2 linked regions of the Anolis sagrei genome follow. The protein of the gene in region 2 interacts with the protein of the main gene of each other region in a pairwise test. Links are inferred from orthologs where the notes say so. Each region holds a gene or a part of one and is shown on either strand. Other genes may lie near its edges.

Region 1 (7,106 bases), on a different chromosome or scaffold from region 2:
CACCCCCAGCTCCCTCAAGGTCAGTCCAGTCACTTCAAGGATGCCATCCATCCATCTTGCCCTTGGTCGGCCCCTCTTCCTTTTGCCTTCCACTTTCCCCAGCATAATTGTCTTCTCTAGGCTTTGCTGTCTCCTCATGATGTGGCCAAAGTACTTCAACTTATTATTATTATTTATAATAATATAATATTATTTTATATTTGGGCTGCAAAAGATGGGACATAATGAGGTTGAACCCAGAACTCCCTGCTTTCAAGCTGACCTGCAGCAGGGAGTTCCTCAGTTCTCTATTGCCTCGCTTAGCCCAACCTACATGAATGTGGCCTCAGCGGCAGCTGCAACCCAGAAGTCTTCTTATTACTTCGCTTTCTTCTCCTGCCTAACATTATAAATAATCCCCCAATAAAATATCAATTAATTGTAACTTTTTCCTCTCAATGGTGTTACTTTGTGTCTTTTACTGCCTCCAAAACTCTTCTCTGCATAAACATTTCCTCTCCCAGGCTGCAGATGGCTGCCGGCCTTCCCGGGATGCAATTTTCGTGTCCTGAGGAGGCCGAAACTGCGCTCCCCTGAACTGCGGATACAGAAACCCATTGGGCCCCCGTATCTGCGAGTCAACGGATCGCTTCAAACTCGGTGCCATTCTTCTCCGGAGAGAATTCTAAGACTAATGGCTATCTCAATTTCGCTCCACTAACTCCTCTGCCCCGGGAATAACCATTTTTGAGTTCAAAACCTCAACCTGGAGCCCAGTTGTTCTTCTGAAGATATTGCCTTGCTGCCACCATTTTGTGGATACCCAGGGAGCCTGGGAAACTGTCGCGGTCACCCCAAGATGTCGGCAGGCCGCCTTGGTCCTTGGTGAGGAGGGATCTGTAGTTCTCTCCATGGATCTTGATCTCCAGCACTGGCAGTCGCCTCATAAGAACTCTATGGACTCTGGGACACCTTTTCCAACTTGTTTCCCGTGGATTTTACAACTTTTATCAACTTTTGCCAACTTTTGAAAACTTTCTGGAACTCTTTCTCCAAGCCCCATGGATTCAATTTCATGACTTAGGGACTATATGATTTCACGATATTGGACTCTCTATGAACTTTGGTGGGTGGGATGAGTTTATATGAATGTCCTTTTCCCCCTTTTCCCCTGTGCATGCTTTATGAACCCCATATATGCGCCTATGTATAAAAATATGGAAAGCCACCCTTTCGTGACCCCAGCATGACAAACGCTTGGGAAATTCTTTCCTATTTCCTGAGGTGAATTGACTTAAGGACTCCAACAAAGACTTAATATAATAACAATGATAACTATGGGTCTAATAATTATATATAGAGAGAATACTAATGTAATAATATAATAATAGTAATATATAAGATGTATAATTAATAATAAGCATATTAAATATATAAGATAATAATACATTAGTAATAGTAATAATATGTAAGGTATAGATAATGTGATAAGAATAATATAATATATACATAATATAATACCAATAATAAAATAATAATATTAGTAAGAATATATATATATATATATATATAACAATAAGAATGAAATAGTTATATAATATATAAAATATAATGTAATACTATTAATATTAATATAATATAATATAAGTAAAGGTAAAGGTTTTCCCCTGACATTAAGTCCAGTCTGGGGGGTCGGTGCTCATCTCCATTTCTAAGCCAAAGAGCCGGTGTTGTCCGTAGACACCTCCAAGGTCATGTGGCCGGAATGACTTCATGGAGTGCTGATAACCTATATATATAAAAATGCTCTGGGCATAATGAGTTCCTTAAAAACAAAAGAACCAGTGAACGAAATCACACCAAATTTGGCAACAAAATGTCTCACAACACAAGGAGTGACCATCACTCAAAAATTATGATTTTGTCATTTGGGAGTTGTACTTGCTAGGATTTATAGTTCACCTACAATCAAAGAGCATTCTGAACTCCATCAACGATGGGATTGAACCAAACTTGGCACACAAAACTCCCATGACCAACAGAAAATACTGGAAGGGTTTGGTGGGCATTGACCTTGAGTTTGAGAGTTATAGTTCACCTACATCCAGATAGCACTGTGGACTCAAACAATGATGGATCTGGACCAAACGTGGCACAAGCACTCAATACACCCAAATGTGAACACAGAAGGAGTTTGGGGGAAATAGATCTTAACATTTGGGAGTTGTAGTCACGGGGATTCACAGTTCACCTACAATCAAAGAGCATTCTGAAACCCACGAATGAGAATCGGGGCAAACTTCCCACACAGAAGCCCCATGACCAACAGAAAATACTTAAGGCCATCCAAGGCCATTTTCCAGATCAATAGACTGGGCCACAGCAACGCGTGGCAGGGGACAGCTAAATAATATAATATAATATAATATAATATAATATAATATAATATAATATCTAGTATCTATGTATATAATAAAAGTCAAAACTTGTACGCGGAGGACAAAAGTGTGGCGGGAGGAGTATGTGCCAGCGTTTTGATTGGCTGCTGCAGTGGTGCTATTTGCATATGGTCTCTGATTGGCCAGCTTCAATAGGAGCCCCTGGTGGAGAAAAGAGTTCATGGCAGAAACGGGGACATGAGAAGGAAATTTGCATATGGTCTCTGATTGGCCAGCCTCAATTCCAAGATTCCGAGATGACAAACAGAGGAAAGGAAAAGGCCAGAGGGGGCTGAGTCAGACAATTACCAATACAGAGCAGATTTGGCACACAAAGCCCCCATGACCTACTCGACACCCTACTGCAGTTTGGAGGAGGATGAACCATGGATGATGGGACTTGCAGTACCATCACTCACATTCTGAGACCGCTGTTAATCTCATCCAATGACTGATCAGGACCAAACTTGGCACATAGACCTCTCATGACCCACTTTACGTCCTGGTGTGGTTTGGCGGGGGATGGACCATGGATTATGGAACTTGCAGTACCTTTGCTCAATTCTTGAAACCACTGCAACCCTCATGCAATTACTGATAAAGATCAAACTTGGCACACTGAGTCTCCATGGCGCACTCTACATCCTGGGGCAGTTTGGGGGAGGATGCACCATGGACGATGGGACTTGCAATAACTGCACTCCTTTCCTAAGACCATTACAACTGCCAACAATGATGAATCAGGACCACAATTTACACAGAGAGCCCGCATGACCCACTCTACATCCTGGTGCGGTTTGGAAGAATTTGACAATGGATGATGGGACTTGCAGTCACTTCACTCACTTCCTGAGACCACTGAGCCCCTCGCCAATGACTAATCAAGACCAAACTTGGCACACAGAGTCCCCATGACCCACTCTACATCCTGGTGCACTTTCGAGGAGGACAGACCATGGATGATGGGACTTCAAGTACCTCTACTCCCTTCCCAAGAATGCTGCAACCCGCATCTAATGTCCGATCAAGACCAAACTTGGCACACAGAACCTCCATGACCCACTCTACATCCTGATGCTGTTTGGAGGAGGACGGATGATGGGACTTCCAGTACCTTCACTCACTTCCTGAAACCACAGCGACACTTATCCAAATACCAAGAAAGACCTAACTTGGCACAGAGAGCCCCCTTGGCTAACTCAACATTCTGGTGATGTTTGTGGGAGAGTATGGATGATGGGGGAGAACAGACAATGGATGATGGGACTTGCAGTACCTAAACTCACTTTCTGAGACCACTGTGACCCTCATCCAATGAATGATCAAGAACAGAACTTGGTGCACAGAGCCCCCACGATCCACTCTCCATTCTGGTGCAATTTGGAGGAGGATGGACCACAGATGATTGGATTCGAAGTACCTTCACTAACTTCCTGAGACCATTGCGAGCCATCTAAATAACTGATAAAGACCAACCTTGATACACAATTCCTTTCTCAAATAACCCGGGCAGCGCCGGGTCCCCAAGCTAGTAATATAATATAATAACAAAATTTCTCAATGTGGCTCCCTCCCGCACTCCCGTGCCTGGCCAGGAGAGGGCGCCAAAGCCCATCTCTTTCCCTTCTAGGGATGGAAGGAGGCGACAGAGAGCTGCAGCCTGGGAAAGGAAACTACTTTTTCCTTTTCCTGCAAAGGGACTTTGCAACATGGGGGCAAGGAGTTCCCTTCCTGGCCTTGCCAAGCCCTTCTTTCCAACGAGGCCCACGAGTTGCATGCTTTTGCTTTCCTCTCCCACCCCCAGAAATGTCAATATTTGGCATTGATTTCTCCCTTCTTTCCTTCCTTCCTCCCTTGCATGTTTTTGCCTCTTTCATAAGGCCATGATCCTCCGACCCGGGTTGTGCCCGGGACTCACGCCGGAAGCGGTGGCCCTCCTCCGAGGCCAAGGCATCCAAACAGGTCAGTGCTCAAGCAGAGGCTGGGCGGGCATCTGTCGGGAGGGGTCGAATGGTGCCTTCCCTTATGGTTGAAGGGGGTCAGACTAGATGGCCCTTGGGGGTCCCTTCCAACTCTAGGAATCTAATAATAATAATAATGTATACTACTACTACTACTACTTACTACTACTACTACTAATTGTAATTCTATCTTTATGGCAGAAGAGGGTCAGACTAGATGGCCCTTGGGGGTCCCTTCCAACTCTAGGAACCTAATAATAATGTATACTACTACTACTAATAGTAATTCTATCTTTATGGCAGAAGAGGGTCAGACTAGATGGCCCTTGGGGGTCCCTTCCAACTCTAGGAACCTAATAATAATAATGTATACTACTACTACTAATAATAATAATAGTAATTCTATCTTTATGGCAGAAGAGGGTCAGACTAGATAGCCCTTGGGGGTCCCTTCCAACTCTAGGAACCTAATAATAATGTATACTACTACTACTACTACTAATAGTAATAGTAATTCTATCTTTATGGCAGAAGAGGGTCAGACTAGATGGCCCTTGGGGGTCCCTTCCAACTCTAGGAACCTAATAATAATAATGTATACTACTACTACTAATAATAATAATAGTAATTCTATCTTTATGGAAAAAGAGGGTCAGACTAGATAGCCCTTGGGGGTCCCTTCCAACTCTAGGAATCTAATAATAATGTATACTACTACTACTACTACTACTACTAATAGTAATAGTATTTCTATCTTTATGGCAGAAGAGGGTCAGACTAGATGGCCCTTGGGGGTCCCTTCCAACTCTAGGAACCTAATAATAATGTATACTACTACTACTACTAATAATAATAATAGTATTTCTATCTTTATGGCAGAAGAGGGTCAGACTAGATGGCCCTTGGGGGTCCCTTCCAACTCTAGGAACCTAATAATAATGTATACTACTACTACTACTACTAATAGTAATAGTAATTCTATCTTTATGGCAGAAGAGGGTCAGACTAGATGGCCCTTGGGGGTCCCTTCCAACTCTAGGAACCTAATAATAATAATGTATACTACTACTACTAATAATAATAATAGTAATTCTATCTTTATGGCAGAAGAGGGTCAGACTAGATAGCCCTTGGGGGTCCCTTCCAACTCTAGGAATCTAATAATAATGTATACTACTACTACTACTACTAATAGTAATAGTAATTCTATCTTTATGGCAGAAGAGGGTCAGACTAGATGGCTCTTGGGGTCCCTTCCAACTCTAGGAATCTAATAATAATGTATACTACTACTACTACTACTAATAATAATAGTAATTCTATCTTTATGGCAGAAGAGGGTCAGACTAGATGGCCCTTGGGGGTCCCTTCCAACTCTAGGAACCTAATAATAATAATGTATACTACTACTACTAATAATAATAATAATAGTAATTCTATCTTTATGGCAGAAGAGGGTCAGACTAGATAGCCCTCTTCTGCCATAACTCTAGGAATCTAATAATAATGTATACTACTACTACTACTACTACTAATAGTAATTCTATCTTTATGGCAGAAGAGGGTCAGACTAGATGGCCCTTGGGGGTCCCTTCCAACTCTAGGAATCTAATAATAATAATGCATACTACTACTACTACTAATAATAATAATAATAATTCTATCTTTATGGCAGAAGAGGGTCAGACTAGATGGCCCTTGGGGGTCCCTTTCAACTCTAGGAATCTAATAATAATAATGTATACTACTACTACTACTAATAATAATAATAGTAATTCTATCTTTATGGCAGAAGAGGGTCAGACTAGATGGCCCTTGGGGGTCCCTTCCAACTTTAGGAATCTAATAATAATAATGCATACTACTACTACTACTACTAATAATAATAATAATTCTATCTTTATGGCAGAAGAGGGTCAGACTAGATGGCCCTTGGGGGTCCCTTTCAACTCTAGGAATCTAATAATAATAATGTATACTACTACTACTACTACTACTACTAATAGTAATTCTATCTTTATGGCAGAAGAGGGTCAGACTAGATGGCCCTTGGGGGTCCCTTCCAACTCTAGGAATCTAATAATAATAATGCATACTACTACTACTACTACTACTAATAATAATAATAATTCTATCTTTATGGCAGAAGAGGGTCAGACTAGATGGCCCTTGGGGGTTCCTTCCAACTCTAGGAATCTAATAATAATAATGCATACTACTACTACTACTACTACTACTAATAATAATTCTATCTTTATGGCAGAAGAGGGTCAGACTAGATGGCCCTTGGGGGTCCCTTTCAACTCTAGGAATCTAATAATAATAATGTATACTACTACTACTACTACTAATAATAATAATAATAATAGTAATTCTATCTTTATGGCAGAAGAGGGTCAGACTAGATGGCCCTTGGAGGTCCCTTCCAACTCTAGGAATCTAATAATAATGTATACTACTACTACTAATAGTAATTCTATCTTTATGACGGAAGAGGGTCAGACTAGATGGCCCTTGTGGCTCCTTTCCAACTTTAGGAGTATAGTACATAGATAAATAATATCATCTTCCTTTATGGCAAAATGGGGGTCAGACTAAATGGACTTTGGGGACTCTTCCAACTCCAGGAGTATAATAATAATAATAATAATAATAATAATAATAATAATAATAATAAATAGATATTAAATTCCTTTATGGCAAAAGGAAGGCAGACTAGATGGACTTT
Region 2 (7,243 bases):
CAGGGACATACAACCCTCCCCCCCCCACCCCCCAGTTACATCAGCTCCACTAGTTGCCACTAGTCTGCTACCGAGCACAATTCAAAGGGCTGGCTTTAGACTATAAAGCCCTAAATGGTCGGAACGTACCTCCCTCTATGACAGTGTTTCTCAACCTGGGGGTCAGGACCTCTTGCGGGGGGGGAGGGGGGGGGTCACAAGGGATCACGAAAGACTATCAGAAAATTCAGTATTTTCTGTTGGTCCTGGGGGTTCTGTGTGGGAAGTTTGGCCCAATGCTATCGTTGGTGGAGTTCAGAATGCTCTTTGATTGTAGGTGAACTATAAATCCCAGCAACTACAACTCCAAAATGTCAAGGTTTATTTTCTCCAAACTCCACCACTGTTCATATTTGGGCATATTGAGGATTTGTGCCAAGTTTGGTCCAGATCCATCATTGTTTGGACCCACAGTGTTCTCTAGATGTAGGTGAACTACAACTCCAAAACTCAAGGTCAATGCCCACCAAAACTTTCCAGTATTTTCTCTTGGTCATGGGAGTTGTGTGTGCCAAATTTTGTACAGTTCCATCATTGGCGGAATTCAGATTGTATGTTGACGATAAATCCTAGCAATTATAACTCCCAAATGACAAATTCAACCCCCACCAATCCCACAAGTATTCAAATTTGGGCATATAAGGTATTTGTGCCAAATTTGATCCAATGAATGAAAATATATCCTGCATATCAGATATTTACATTATGATACATAACAGTAGCAAAATTACGGTTATGAAGTAGAAACGAAAATAATGTTAGGGGTCACCACAACATGGGGAACTGTATGAAGGGTTCCTGGCATTAGGATGGTTGAGAACCACTGCTCTATGAACTACCATGGAGGTTAAGATCTTCTGGGGAGGCCCTTCTGGTCCTACCTACTTCACAGACATGATTGGTGGGGATGAGAGACAGGGCCTTCTCAGTGGTGGCCCATCAATTATGGAACTCCCTCCCCAACAAAATTAGATCAGCTCCCTCCCTCCTGACCTATAGAAAGAAATCAAAAACTTGGCTATGGGACCAAGCCTTCGGATAGTAACTCAGTGCAATAAGAGGATACGAAATAATTTCAACATGATTGAAATGGATCCTGGACTATGACTTTGGATTTGTGTGGTGTTAATAATTCATTTTAATGCATAGATTTTTTTCTTAACTTTTATAGTTTAAATATATAGCCTTATTGTTCTTATATGTTTGTTTATATGGCACTGAATTGTTGCCAATCTGTAAGCCGCTCTGAGTCTCCTTCGGGGTGAGAGAGGGCAGGGTATAAATAAAGTAAATACATAAATAAATAAACAATTACAAGCAGATAATATAAAACAGTGGTATAAAACATATTAAAGTTGGATGATAATGCATAATGTCCTTGCACAGTTGAGCTAATTACCTTACATAGTGAGGAAAAAGACTTTATTCAATCCACAAGAGACACAGTTCAACACAACATTGCCAAGAAGTGTGTTGGTGAGTACCATCCTGGACTGTTGTCATTTAAATGTATATGATTACTTTGTTTGATTAGTTTTACATTCTCCAGAATAACCATAGACTATCAGTCCAGTGACAAATACAAATTTGAGAAGAGCAAAGAAAAAAATCAAAATAACAAAATAATGAGAAAGGAAAGATGTGGGGGGAGGAAAAGGGTGCCCTCCACCTACAAGTGAAGTCATGCTCTATTTCAAACAAATCTGCTAGGCTTTGATCTAATCAGAAAGTGCCTGATACCTATCAGACCTACTCTTAAAGTCAACTAGTTTGCATTGCATGTGAACAGAGAGCTATCTAAAGTTAAACAAAGAACAGCACCCCCAAGGCACCTCATAGCAACCCAATGGTTCCAGCCATGAAAGCCTTCAACAACAGACCTCCATTCAGTTTACAACTCATATCTTTCCCTCAAAAGCCCTATAAACTTCTTCCTCACACAACTTACCTGCCTCAAGTTTTGAAAGTGAAGTAAATTCCCCGGATACCACCTTTCTCCTGAAATACCAAAAATACTAAAGTTTAAAAACTAAAATTATACAATAGGGTGTTTGGCATATGCTTTACACAATAAATCAGGATTGCAGGTACGTAATGACAGAAGTTCCCATAGCAAACTAATAAACTCCAGAGCTGCTGCTAATTCCTTATCCAAAAGCAAAAAGAAGACGATGTACTCAATATGGTCTAAGAACTGAATACAGAGAGCCATACTTTGTTAATAACAGTCAGTACTTTGACGCTTCAACCTCCACATTAGCCATTAAAACAGTTCTTTCTTGTTCACTTTCCTGTTCAAATTTAGCAATGCTTCACTTTACCCCCCTATTTTATTTGCACTTAGACATTCAGCTGCTTCAAAATGGTGTTCCCCGCCCAAAAAGCCAGCTCTGAGATCCAAATTTCAAACACAAGCACAGCCAGAGTTTGTTTGCTTGTTTTCTCTCCCCTGAAATTTGTTGTAGGATGATCAGGAGAGGGAGGGACGGCTTTAGGCAGCACTGCATCTCAAATTGTGCCAAAGAATATTGAACGGCAACACCAACAACTCTGCCTTGCATCCTGTATACAGTACATTTTGGCATGCAGAGAGGGAGGGGAAGAGAAGAAAGAGATACATACCAAAAATGCAACCTCAGTCAACAGCTGCCAGACTTCTGGACCAGAAGAGAAACCCCTGGAGAAGCTTCTCGGTGCAGGAAAATGGCAGAGGAGGCTGGCCACCACATCTTGCAAGAGTCAAACCACTTGTGATTGAAAGTTGACTCCTGCTGCTTGCCCTCTTTGCTAACATTACCAACTCTCCTCCAAAACCAGAGAAAGGCTGGAGGAATTGGCCCACGTCACAGCCAAACATTCCTCCCCAGCTAATCACAGGCCAGGCGGGGAGGAGCGGCTGTCGCTTCACATTTCTTCCCTGCTAACCACTGGGTTTGTGTGTGCGTGTTCCCACATGTGCGGTGCACATCACGTTCTCATTGGTTTCCTCGCCCGCTTCAAGACATAACCCAGAGAGAGACACTCCAAGTCCAGGCACATGAGCCACCAAACTTAGGATCCAGGCTAGAAGGCAGCTATCTGTAAAGATTTGCTTCTTTCCTGCACCTGGCACAGAAGAGTGCGCAAAACCTCTTGGATGTGGGCCAAAGGAAAGCCCTGGGGATTTTCTTCCTCCTACTCTCTGGCTGGCATACAAAACAAACTAAGCAGGAGCCCCATAGTCTTCTCTACTCTTGCCCACCTCAGTCCCCCCTGCTTTAAAAGTCCAAGCATCACATTACAGACCCTTTCGTGCTCCAAACACAAAGCAGAGCCAGATCATTCCCTAGCACTCAATGAACTACTCCCTGAGCAGCTGCTGTCGGCAGGAAATCTTCCACTGACTGCCACACAGCTGAAAGACCGAGCTCTGAAGAACAGCCTGAACAGCCTCGAAAAAGCCTGCTAGCATGTATTTGTCAACAAATGTTGACCCAATTAAAAATGGCCATCTTACTCCTTACTTTCTCACAGGCTTTTGAAGCAGATAAGACCGGTCTGGGAAGAAAACATTCATCCTAAGACTTTCTGTCCTCTGTCAAATTCTTTGACTCTTGGGTTGTATGTATGTATGGTCATGTTCCAGAAGCATTCTCTCCTGACATTTTGCCTGCATCTATGGCAGGCATTCTCAGAGGTCTGCTGGACACTAGGAAAATCGAGTTTTTATATGTGTGTGGAATGTTTATATATCTGTGGAATGTCTACATAGGGACCACCAAACGCAGCATTGCCCAAACAGGAATCAAGGAACATGAAAGGCACTGCAGACTACTTCAACTAGAGAAGTCAGCCATAGCAGAGCACCTGATGAACCAACCTGGACACAGCATATTATTTGAGAACAGAGAATTCTGGGCCACTCTAACAACCACCATGTCAGACTACACAGAGAAGCAATGGAAATCCACAAGCATGTGGGCAATTTCAACAGAAAGGAGGAAACCATGAAAATGAACAAAATCTGGTATTTAAAAACTCTAAAATCATAACAGTAAATAAAGAACAATACTCAAACACAGGGGAATTCCAGACAAGAAAATCTGGGTCAACTAATCACCTCCCAACAAAAGATTCCCCCAAGCAGTAGGAAGCCAAACCTTGAAACTGCTAGGCCATTAAATGCTAATCAAGGTGACCAATTGAAACATTCACATTCACTACCTCAAACAGGCAACAGTTCTTTCTCCCACCCTGGACATTCCACAAATATATAGATCCCATTTTCCTAGTTTCCAACAGACCTCACAACCTCTGAGGATGCCTGAGATACATGCAGGTGAAACGTCAGGAGAGAATATTTCTGGAACATGGCCATACAGCCTGGAAAACATAACAACCCAGTGATTCCAGCCATGAAAGCCTTCAACAATTCTTTGAATCTTGTCATCATTATAAAAGTGAGGTTTTTCCAAGGAACAAGTGAGAAAAGGCATAGGCAAACTTGGGCCCTCCGGCAGCTGAGGGGGGAAAGGGCCCCAAGGCTGTTAGGAATTGTGGGAGTTGAAATCCAAAACACCTGGAGGGCCCAAATTTGCCCATGCCTGATCTACACTGTAGAATATTGCAGTTTGACACCACCTAGAGAAACATGAAAGTTGTAGTTTTACAAAGTCTTTTACCTTTTCTGCCAAAAAGTGTGGGTTCCTCACCAAACTACAAATCCCAGGACTCCATAGCACTGAGCCATAAGGAGTTAAAGTAGTGTCAAACTGCAACAATTCTACATCACTGATGCACTCTCAGACTAGAATCCCCATCTTCACCCATGAGGACCATGTATTTTTTCCAATTGTAATTTTAAGAGTAATTTGTTGTTTTGTGCCTTCAAATAATTTCTGATAAGGCCTGATTAGAGGGGGGATGCCATTGCTTTCCTCTGGGGCTGAGAGAGTGTGACTTGCCACTTTCAATCTTTCAGGGATTTGTAGTTTCAGAGGTATGAGAAGCATACCTCTGAAACTACAAATCCTTGCTTTCTGCTCTAAATCTGCAAACCAAAGTACTCTTGCTTGGAAGGAAGGAAGCACCATTGAAACTAATGAGACAATGAATAAACATGTGTTGGTTGAATGTGCTGTGAAAATGATCCTGATTGCAATGGCATTCATTCTAGCTCCACCTTGCTGATGGGAAAAGTGAGGTTCAAAGCCATAATAGGTTCCACAGAATAAGAAACGAAATGCAAATTCAAACCAAATTCAGTCCTAAGCTGGGGCATGCCCAAGAGATACAGCTTGCAACAACACTCAGAAATAAACCATGCAAACCGCAAAGACTATACTCCCCTAACCAGTTGAGCAGGAGCGTTTTGACTTAAACTAGCTACAGTAAACAAAGGTCTACTTTGCATCCTGATCTGTAGACCAACACTGAATAGGAAGGGTCCACTTGCCTATATGTATACAGCATTTGCCATACTAACTTTTCCTGGAGTATAGCTACAGAAGGACCCCCGGAGGTGCAGTGGGTTAGACTGCTGCTGAACTTGCTGACTGAAAGGTTGCAGGTTCAAATCCGGGGAGCAGCATGAGCTCCCACTGTTAGCCCCAGCTTCTGCCAACCTAGCAGTTCGAAAACATGCAAATGTGAGTAGCTCAATAAGTACTGCTCCAACAGGAAGTTAACGGCATTCCATGCAGTCATGCTGGTCACATGACCTTGGAGATGTCTATGAACAACGCCAGCTCTTCGGCTGAGAAATTGAAAATTAGCACCAACCCCCAGAGTCAGATGCAACTGGTCTTATTGTCAGGGGAAAACCTTTACATTTACCTATAGCTATGGGAAGGGCCAAAATGAGGCCTCCCCACCCATCTCACATCCGCATAACAATTCTGTTCCACAAATGTTTCCCCCCCCCCGCCCCCCCCCCCGCCCCCGCCTCTAATCTCCAAATTGCTAGCATTGCAGAAAGTGAGACCTTCATTCCTAGAACTGTTATATTTGCAATGTTCACACCCCTTTCAGTAATGTTTTCCCTTTGCTTTGGATGCCTAAACTGCATTTCTAAATGTGCAATGGAATTTTAAAGTTATTACAAAGCTAGAAATTTGGAGACTAAAGGAAAATATAATTGGTGGTGGAAAAATATTTTTACTTGGGTGACCCAATGCCCCCCTTTTCTTTCCCGCCATTCACCCCTGACCTTCTCTTTTCTTGTTAAATCAAGGCTGGGATGCCAAGACCAGATGTGGTTCTGGGATGTGTGAGAAAAGGGAGGTCAATAAATACTTCTACACAGATTTTTTCCCCATATATTGATCTCAATGGAGCCAGGCTGGTCCCATGCACTTGTAAAATGGAAAGAGAATATTCTGAAAGGAAAAAGGAGCAACTGCCAGGACAAGTTAGGCACTTCATGTACTGGAAGGAAACATCAGAGAAAGCTTGCCCTGGAAGCAAAACTTGGATCAAAAGACACCAACACCTCACTATTTGCATGCTGCCAACTCCCAGGCCCTGAATACACACTTTCAAGCCATTTCTCCACATGCCAAACATTCAATTGAATGAATCCTACACAGAGCCCAGGAAAGTCATATATTGGAGTTACAATTCTCAGCTAGTGACTGGGAGAGTCTGAGTTTCCCAAACTCTGACTGATTACAGTGATTTCAGATCTAAGCCAGACCTACACACTCACGATACCAGGCTGGATCTACACTGCCATATAATCCAGTATCTGATTTGATGTGGATTATATGAGTCTACACTGCCATATAAACCAGCTCAAAGCATATAATCCGGATTTTATATGGAAGTGTAGATGGGGTCCCAGTAAACTCTAGCAACTTTCCCCTGTACCAACGAGTTTAAGTCCCCTCTCAGTCTTCTTCCAGTTTTTTAGCCCAGCACACTGAAAACTGGGAAGCCCTGGCCCTTGAGCGCTCCAGTTGGAGGTCAGCTGTGACCAGCAGTGCTGCAGAATTTGAAGAGGCACGGATGGAGGGCAAAAGAGAGAAACGTGCCAAGAGGAAGGCACGTCAAGCCAACCCCAACCGGGACAGCCTTCCACCTGGAAACCGATGCCCTTAGTGTGGGAGAAGATGCAGATCAAGAATAGGGCTCCACAGTCACCTACGGACCCACCGCCAGGATATTACACTTGAAGGATCTAAGGATCCTCAGACTACGAAGGATCCTCAGACTACGAGGGATCACC

What was found.
Region 1: the proteins of LZTS2 (region 2) and RAD51D interact in binary tests that used the Homo sapiens proteins (3 or more experiments, as listed by UniProt). The two-hybrid records come from large-scale screens. The link is inferred for Anolis sagrei from reciprocal best matches to the Homo sapiens genes LZTS2 and RAD51D.

Annotation. Positions count from the first base shown.
Region 1 is NC_090031.1:28,352,991-28,360,096, forward strand, and holds the start of RAD51D (DNA repair protein RAD51 homolog 4), read left to right. Parts: upstream 1-4,051; 5' UTR 4,052-4,300; coding exon 4,301-4,379; intron 4,380-7,106. UniProt on the Homo sapiens protein: Involved in the homologous recombination repair (HRR) pathway of double-stranded DNA breaks arising during DNA replication or induced by DNA-damaging agents. Bind to single-stranded DNA (ssDNA) and has DNA-dependent ATPase activity.
Region 2 is NC_090023.1:215,468,602-215,475,844, reverse strand, and holds the start of LZTS2 (leucine zipper putative tumor suppressor 2), read right to left. Parts: upstream 3,098-7,243; 5' UTR 2,662-3,097; intron 2,038-2,661; 5' UTR 1,988-2,037; intron 1-1,987. UniProt on the Homo sapiens protein: Negative regulator of katanin-mediated microtubule severing and release from the centrosome. Required for central spindle formation and the completion of cytokinesis.